Macaca mulatta: one gene and its partner. The protein of the gene in region 1 binds, or shares a complex with, the protein of each later gene. Links are inferred from orthologs where the notes say so. Each region holds a gene or a part of one and is shown in the gene's direction. Other genes may lie near its edges. The genes, in order: AP2A2 and EPS15.

Region 1 (3,811 bases):
GCCATCTGGACCCGTTGGGGAACGCAGGCTCTGTCCAGTTTGTGTCACACTTGCTGAGGAAACCGCCCCCCCATTTCCCCTCCCTCCATGCAGTGAGCCGAACCTGCTCGTCCGCGCCTGCAACCAGCTGGGCCAGTTCCTGCAGCACCGTGAGACCAACCTGCGCTACCTGGCCCTGGAGAGCATGTGCACGCTGGCCAGCTCCGAGTTCTCCCACGAGGCTGTCAAGACACACATCGAGACTGTCATCAACGCCCTGAAGGCGAGTGCCCTGTCCTCGGGGTCTGCTCACTCCCTGAGCAGGTGCTGTGGGCCTTCCTGTGAAGGCTGGGGGGACGCAGTGCTTCCTGACTCCCCGCAGAGATGGAGGTGGTGGCTGGTGCTGCTGGCCTCTGCCTGTCACCTACTCTTGGGAGGTCACACCACAGTTGAGGGCCATGCTGCCTGGCGATGGCCAGGACGGCCCTGCTCTGCTGGTTAGGCTGAGCACACGAGTCCCTGGCAGCCCTTTCCCTGCTGGGGGCAGGTCCCCGTGTGCCATCCTGCATGTGCATAATGCCAACAAGTAGAAATAGTTCTTCTTGGTAGAAAGATGAAATTTTTTCCCTCATCTCTGAGAAAATCAGGAAACTCACTTTATTTGGGGGTTAAAATTTCAGAGTTGGAAGACCCAGTTGAGGTTGGCCATTGCCAGCCTTCGTGAGACTCCAGAGCGACCCCGAGGGTTCGTTCCATGTAGGACGTGTCTGCCACGTCCTTAGTCACCGGTGTGCATGTGTTAGGAGGTGGGAGGTGGGGAGCTGCACGTCTCCCGTCTGGCTCAGCCTCAGGCTGTGGCAGGGCCGCTCCCGGCCCTCCGCACGTGTGTGTGCAGCTCACGGGTGTTCTGGGTGGCGTGCGAGGGGCTCGTGGTGGGCGTTTGGTATTCTGGATTCTTCTTGGTCCTGGTTCGGTGTGTGTTTTAGTCAATCCCTATTGTCAGAAAGGCTGGACGCTCATTTTAATACGGCCAGTGCTAGGGCTGGCAGTGCCCACTCTCCTGCCGTTTGCTGGGAGCAGAGCTATGCAGACCTCGGGCTTTCTCATGCTGCAGAGCCTCTTGGGGGCTCATCAGCGGGGGCTCATCAGCACGGGCTCCAGGGTGGGGCGTGAGAACCTGCCTTGGGGCAGCTCCACGGCAGTGTCGGAGGCAGCGGGGTCTTCAGCTGCATGGAAGCGAGGCCTTAATAACTTGCACCAGGCAGTGCGCTCGGTCCTAGCGAAGCTGGCCTGTGCGGAGGGAGGCGCGGGCGAGGAGGCGGAACTCTATTCCGGGCCGTCTACACCAGGCAGTGCGCTCGGTCCCAGCGAAGCTGGCCTGTGCAGAGGGAGGCGCGGGCCAGCGGAGGGAACCCAGGCAGTGCGTTGGAACCTAGCGAAGCTGGCCTGTGCGGAGGGAGGCGCGGACGAGCGGAGGGAACCCAGGCAGTGCGCTGGGACCTAGCGAAACCGGCCTGTGCGGTGGGAGGGCCGGGTGAGTAGGCGGAACTCTTTTCCGGGCCATCCAGACGCATGCGGCCCGAGTGCAGGTCGGATCCTTGGACCTGGATGTGTGTGTGAGGGAAGCTCAGGGTGGGCGTTGAGATGCGGTGCCGGGCCTATCCCCAAGCCTGGGCCTTGCTCCTGCGGCCTCTTACTCTGTGCCTTGTTCCCCAGACCGAGCGGGACGTGAGCGTGCGGCAGCGGGCCGTGGACCTCCTCTATGCCATGTGCGACCGCAGCAATGCCCCACAGATCGTGGCCGAGATGCTGAGCTATCTGGAGACGGCCGACTACTCCATCCGAGAAGAGATTGTGAGTTCTGGTGGCCTCTGAGTCCTCTCCTGCCACAAGCACGAATCTCAGGGGCGGAATTTCCTTCGTGCTCTGTGATTCTGTCCCGCAGGGCTTGATTGAGAACCCATGAGATGCTGGATACAAGGCTCCTCTGCCTCTGCATTTCAATCCACATTTTCAAGCTGGGTGTGGTGGCGCCTGTGGTCCCAGCTACTCCGGAGGTGGAGGCGGGAGGATCACCTGAGGCCAGGAGGTTGAGGCTGCCGTGAGTCGAGATCATGTCACTGCACTCCAGCCTGGGCAACACAGCGAGGCCCTGTCTTTAAAAAAAAAACAACAACTCATTTTTGGTAGAGTCATTTGGTCTTGAAAATAACTATTGACCGGGTGCGGTGGCTCACGCCTGTAATCACAGCACTTTGGGAGCCTGAGGCGGGTGGATCACCTGGTTGGGAGTTCAAGACCAGCCTGACAAACATGCAGAACCCCTGACCCCATCGCTACTGAAAATACAAAATTAGCTGGGCATGGTGGCGCATGCCTGTAATGCCAGCTACTCCGGAGGCTGAGGCAGGGGAATCGCTTGAACCTGGGAGGCAGAGGCGGAGGTTGTGGTGAGCCGAGATCCTGCCACGGCACTCCAGCCTGAGCAACAAGAGTGAAACTCCATCTCAAAAAAAAAAGAAAACTAAAACACCTGCCCCGCGTGGCTTCTGTGGCCTGCCTGTCCTTTCGGTGGTGGCACTGCAGCCCCAGGTCTGAGTGAGGCTGTAGCCGTCTACGGTGGGGCTGTACAAATTCAGACTCCTGTGGGCAAAATTCTTTTATTTGTTTAATTATGTTGCATTTTGAGCCCTTGAATTAATCCTTTGTGGCTTGGCTTTTTTTTGTGTCTCTCTCTTGATCTCTGGGAAGGACGGGATCTAGGCCATAGCTTAATTTCCCATGTTGTTTTTATCCACAAAGTAGGCGTGCATACTTGCCAAATTGCTGAAGCTCATCGAACCTGTATGTGTGAAAGACTGAGCATCAGCAGGGCACAGTGGCTCATGCCTGTAATCCCAGCACTTTGGGAAGCTGAGGCGGGTGGATCACGGGGTCAGGAGATCGAGACCATCCTGGCTAACACGGTGAAACCCCATCTCTACGAAAAATACAAAAAATTAGCCGGGCGTGGTGGTGGGCACCTGTAGTCCCAGCTTCTGGGGAGGCTGAGGCAGGAGAATGGTGTGAACTCGGGAGGGGCGGATCTTGCAGTGAGCCGAGATCGCGCCATTGCACAGAACGAGACTCCATCTCAAAAAAAAAGAGAAAGGATGAAAGACTGAGCATGACCCAAAACTTGAGGGAGGGAACCCTTGTGGAGGCCACATGGTCAGCAGAGGAGAGGGCCTGAGGCCTCCACCATGCTCACAGGCCTCTCAGGCTCACTGTCTGTGGATGGTGGGGTTTAAGGGGCAGGCCCGGGTGTCCTCATGTGGGGTTGGCCACTGTCACCAGCCAGGACCACAGCCTCTTGTTGAGGCTGAGACAGTGCCTCCATTGTATAGAAAACACTTTGTTATTTGTCTTTTTGGGCAAAGTACAGCTCGAGGCCTCCTTGGGCGCTTTGCCGAGAGCCATGGTCGGAGCTGGTGGCAGGTGACAGGTCGCTTTGGGCGGGTGGGCGTGGCTATGCCCAGGTGAGAGATGCAGGTTTTCAGGGGTCTTTAGTGAACGGAGGGGCCCAGGTACTGGGACTTCAATGCTGAGGGGTGAAATTATCACAGACCGAGCTTCAGTGAGGCACTGCAGACCTGCAGAGGGCGGGGACCAGGAGGTGACTCTCACGCTGGACTGTCCACCCTTCAGGACAGGGCAGTGGGCCTGGGAAGTTGAGGGGCCCAGGAACAGGGGTGGGCCGACTCCCGGCAGGAGGCCCCAAGGGCAGGCACCGCGGGGAGCGTTTGGTGTAGGGCAGGGCTGTCTGTAGAGTGGCCAGGCAGGTGCTTGTTGA
Region 2 (3,811 bases), on another chromosome or scaffold:
CAGACATTCAAAAGAGGTAAAAATAATTCTATATTAACATTGGAGACTCATAAGGGTGGAAGGACAGGAGGAGGTGAATTATCAGACATTACTTAATGGGTACAATATACATTATTCAGATGACAGATACATCAAAAGCCCCGACTTTACCATTAGGCAATATAGTGATGTAACAGAATTCCACTTGGACCCCTTGAATTTATACATATAAAATAAATAAATAATAAATAAATGTTCTTAATAGCTGGATGTGGTGGCAAGTGCCTGTAGTCCCAACTACTCAGGAGGCTGAAGTAGGTGGATTGCTTGAGCCTGAGCTGGTGGCACTAGGCAACATAGAGAGACCTTATCTCTAAAAATTAAATGATATATTTTAAAAATGTCCTTATACTGTTTTCCTTAGATGAATTATACACTATTTTAGGTGAAGGAAAGAGAAACGTGTTAAATGTACTTTATGACTAGAGAAATATTTTGTTACATTACCATCAGTTGATTTTTCTTTTGTTTTCGAGACTTAAGTTTCACTTTGTCGCCCAGGCTTGAGTGCAGTGGCGCGATCTCGGCTCACTGCAACCTCCACCTCCCAGGTTCAAGCGATTCTCCTGCCTCAGCCTCCCAAGTAGCTGGGACTACAGGCATGTGCCACCACGCCCAGCTAATTTTTGTATTTTTGGTAGAGACGGGGTTTCACCATGTTGGCCAGGATGGTCTCTCTCTCTTGACCTTGTGATCCACCCACATCAGCCTCCCAAAGTGCTGGGATTACACGTGTGAGCCACTGTGCCCGGCCCATCAGTTGATTTTGCAAAGCATGTGTATGACCTGAATATATGTTATTTTATTTTAAAATGTTACCTTTTAAAACTTTGGTTTCTAAAAAAAAATTTTAATTAAAAATTATTTTTAGGAAGATCCATTTAATGTAGACTCAAGTTCGCTGACAGATCCAGTTGCAGATACAAACTTGGATTTTTTCCAGTCTGACCCTTTTGTTGGCAGTAAGTACTCTTTTTTTTTTCTATTATAGTTTTACCCAAAAAAAAGGCTTTGTAATATATAAACTAAGGATTAAGGCTTTGGTTTCAATAGCCTACCAACTCAGTCTGTCACCCAGGCTGGAGTGCAGTGGCACAATCTCGGCTCACTGCAACCTCCACCTCCTGGGTTCAAGCAATTCTCCTGTCTCAGCCTCTTGAGTACCTGGGGCTACAGGCGCCCACCACCACACCCGGCTAACTTTATGTATGTATGTATGTATGTATGTATGTATGTATGTATGTATGTATTTAGAGATGGAGTCTCGCTCTTTTGCCAGGCTGGAGTGCAGTGGCACAATCTTGACTCACTGCAACCTCTGCCTCCCAGATTCAAGTGATTCTCCTGCCTCAGCCTCCCGAGTAGTTGGGATTACGGGCGCCTGCCACCACACCCAGCTAATTTTTGTATTTTTAGTAGAGGTGGGGTTTCACCATGTTGGCCAGGATGGTCTCCATCTCTTGACCTCATGATCTGCCTACTTTGGCCTCCCAAAGTGCTGGGATTACAGGCGTGAGCCACCACGTCCGGCCTAATTTTTGTATTTTAGTAGAGACTGGGTTTCACCATTTTGACCAGGCTGGTCTTGAACTCCTGACCTCAGGTGATCCACCTGCGTCAGCCTTCTAAAGTGCTGGGATTACAGGCGTGAGCCACTGCGCCTGGCCTGCTTTGTATTTTCCTGCTGACTAATGTTGAACATCTTTCTAGATGCTTATTGGCCATTTGTATGTCTTCTTTGGAAAAGTGTTTATTCAATTTTGGTGAAGTCCAATTATCTATTTTTTCTTCTATCACTTGTGCTTTTGGTGTCATCTACGAAACTATTACCTTAGTCACAAAGATTTAATGCTCTCTTTGTCTAAGAGTTTTATAGTTTTGCTGTTAACAGTTAGATCTTTGATCCATTTTGAGTTTATTTTTGTATGTGATGTGAGATAGGGGTCAAGCTTCATTCTTTTGCATGTGGATATCCAGTTGTCCTAACACCTTTTGTTGAAAAGACTGTCCTTTGTCCATTTTGTGTTCTTGATACTCTTTTCAAAAATCAAATGACCATAAATGTAAGGATTTATTTCTGGACTCTTCAGTCCTGTAAGAATTTTTTTTTTTTCCCCGCTTCAGTAAAGCTCAGTATCTTTATTTCTGAACTGGTGATAATAACACCCTCCCAGTACTCTTGTGAAGAGTAGAGGTTTTGTTAGTAAAATTTTGGGTGTAACATCTTCCCCTCCATCTGTAACCTCAACTTGTGATCAAGGTAAGTATAGTTGGCTGTACATTTAATAAGGTCAATGACATTCCTTATTTTATCTACTTTGAAGTGAAGTTATTGAAATAAACTTTGCTTTGCTTTTGTTTTAAAGTTACCCTTTAAGTAACGGTGTCATCACAGTAAATACTGTTATTTGGATTTCTTTCTGTTTATTTTATCACAGGTGATCCTTTCAAGGATGATCCTTTTGGAAAAATCGGTCAGTATCTTACTGAGTTTCATCTTAGCTTTCATTCATTTCCGGTTAATAATAAACTTACGTTATTTGGGTCTGAAACTGAAGCCCCAGTAAGATACTCTATGTGCCTGGCATTTTCAGAAAGAAAGTAGTAAATTCTTGAGATTTTGCTTAATAAATTGTTGCTTTACTTTTACTTCTCTTTTTTTTTTTTTTTTTTTTTTCCTGGTGTTTTTTGTTTCTGAGACAGGGTCTTATTCTGTCACCCAGGCTGCAATTCAGTGGTGTGATCATGGCTCACTGCAGCCTTGACTTCCTGGGCTCAACTAGTCCTCCTGCCTCAGCCTCCTGAGTACCTAGGTCTACAGGCTCATGCCAGCACACCTGACTGATTTTTTTAAAAATTTTTTGTGGAGACAGGGTCTCACTGTGTTGCCCAGGTTGATCTTAAACTCCTGGGCTCAAGCAGTCCTCCTACCTCAGCCTCCCAAAGTGCTGGGATTACAGACAGGCATGAGCCACTATGCCCAGTAGCTTTACCTTTTTAAAAATGACATTAGTGTTTACACTTTGGTGCTTTTAATATTTATTCTGATTCCTCCTTACTAACTAAAGGTTTGGTGAACATAATGATCTATACTACTTCGGGATTTAGAATGTAATTTTGTTTTCCTATGATTATAGCCCACACATGTGATTAGAGGAAGAGGATCTTGAAGAATTACTAAAACACCAGGCTTTTTAAGATACTCTTTTTCTGGGAATTTTCATTAGAATAATGCAAATCTTGTTTACCGTTTAGTTTTTGCATCCCAAACCTGTTCTAAACTATTGGCTGTTAGCTTTGAGCTCAGAGAGAAAAATACATTTAGAAGTTTTTATTGTGTTTTCTTTAGTTATGATAGCGTAGAATAAGGAAACTTAAAATTGGATCCCTTGAAATTATATGTTAATTTTAAAAAATAAGTTTATTAGGTGAAAGGTTCTATATCTTTTATCAAAATTGCAAAGGAGTCTGTGAAATAAAAAATAGTCAGCTTAGATTCTACAGCATTTCAAACTGTCTTTTTGGGGTTTTTTTTGAGACAGTCTTGCTCTGTTGCCCAGGCTAGAGTACAAGTAGTGTGATCTTAACTCACTGCAACCTCCACCTCCCATGCTGAAGTAATTATTCTCATGCCTCAGCCTCCTGAATAGCCGGGATTACAGGCGCGCACCACCATGCCTGGCTAATTTTTGTGTTTTTAGTAGAGGCAGGGTTTCACCATGTTAGCCAGGCTGGTGTTAAACTCCTGAGCTCAAGTGATCCGTCCACCTCA

The links.
Region 2: the proteins of AP2A2 (region 1) and EPS15 are in contact, whole or in part, in a crystal structure (PDB 1KYU), measured with the Mus musculus proteins. The link is inferred for Macaca mulatta from reciprocal best matches to the Homo sapiens genes AP2A2 and EPS15. Residues at the interface, in XP_006536218.1 of Mus musculus: Phe442, Phe443, Trp446, Lys447, Asp487, Pro488, Val494, Arg511; in NP_031969.1 of Mus musculus: Asp629, Pro630, Phe631, Lys632.

The regions. Positions count from the first base shown.
Region 1 is NC_133419.1:884,588-888,398, forward strand, and holds part of AP2A2 (AP-2 complex subunit alpha-2), read left to right. Parts: intron 1-93; coding exon 94-262; intron 263-1,695; coding exon 1,696-1,833; intron 1,834-3,811. UniProt on the Homo sapiens protein: Component of the adaptor protein complex 2 (AP-2). Adaptor protein complexes function in protein transport via transport vesicles in different membrane traffic pathways.
Region 2 is NC_133406.1:189,272,320-189,276,130, forward strand, and holds part of EPS15 (epidermal growth factor receptor substrate 15), read left to right. Parts: coding exon 1-16; intron 17-910; coding exon 911-1,001; intron 1,002-2,477; coding exon 2,478-2,513; intron 2,514-3,811. UniProt on the Homo sapiens protein: Involved in cell growth regulation. May be involved in the regulation of mitogenic signals and control of cell proliferation. Involved in the internalization of ligand-inducible receptors of the receptor tyrosine kinase (RTK) type, in particular EGFR.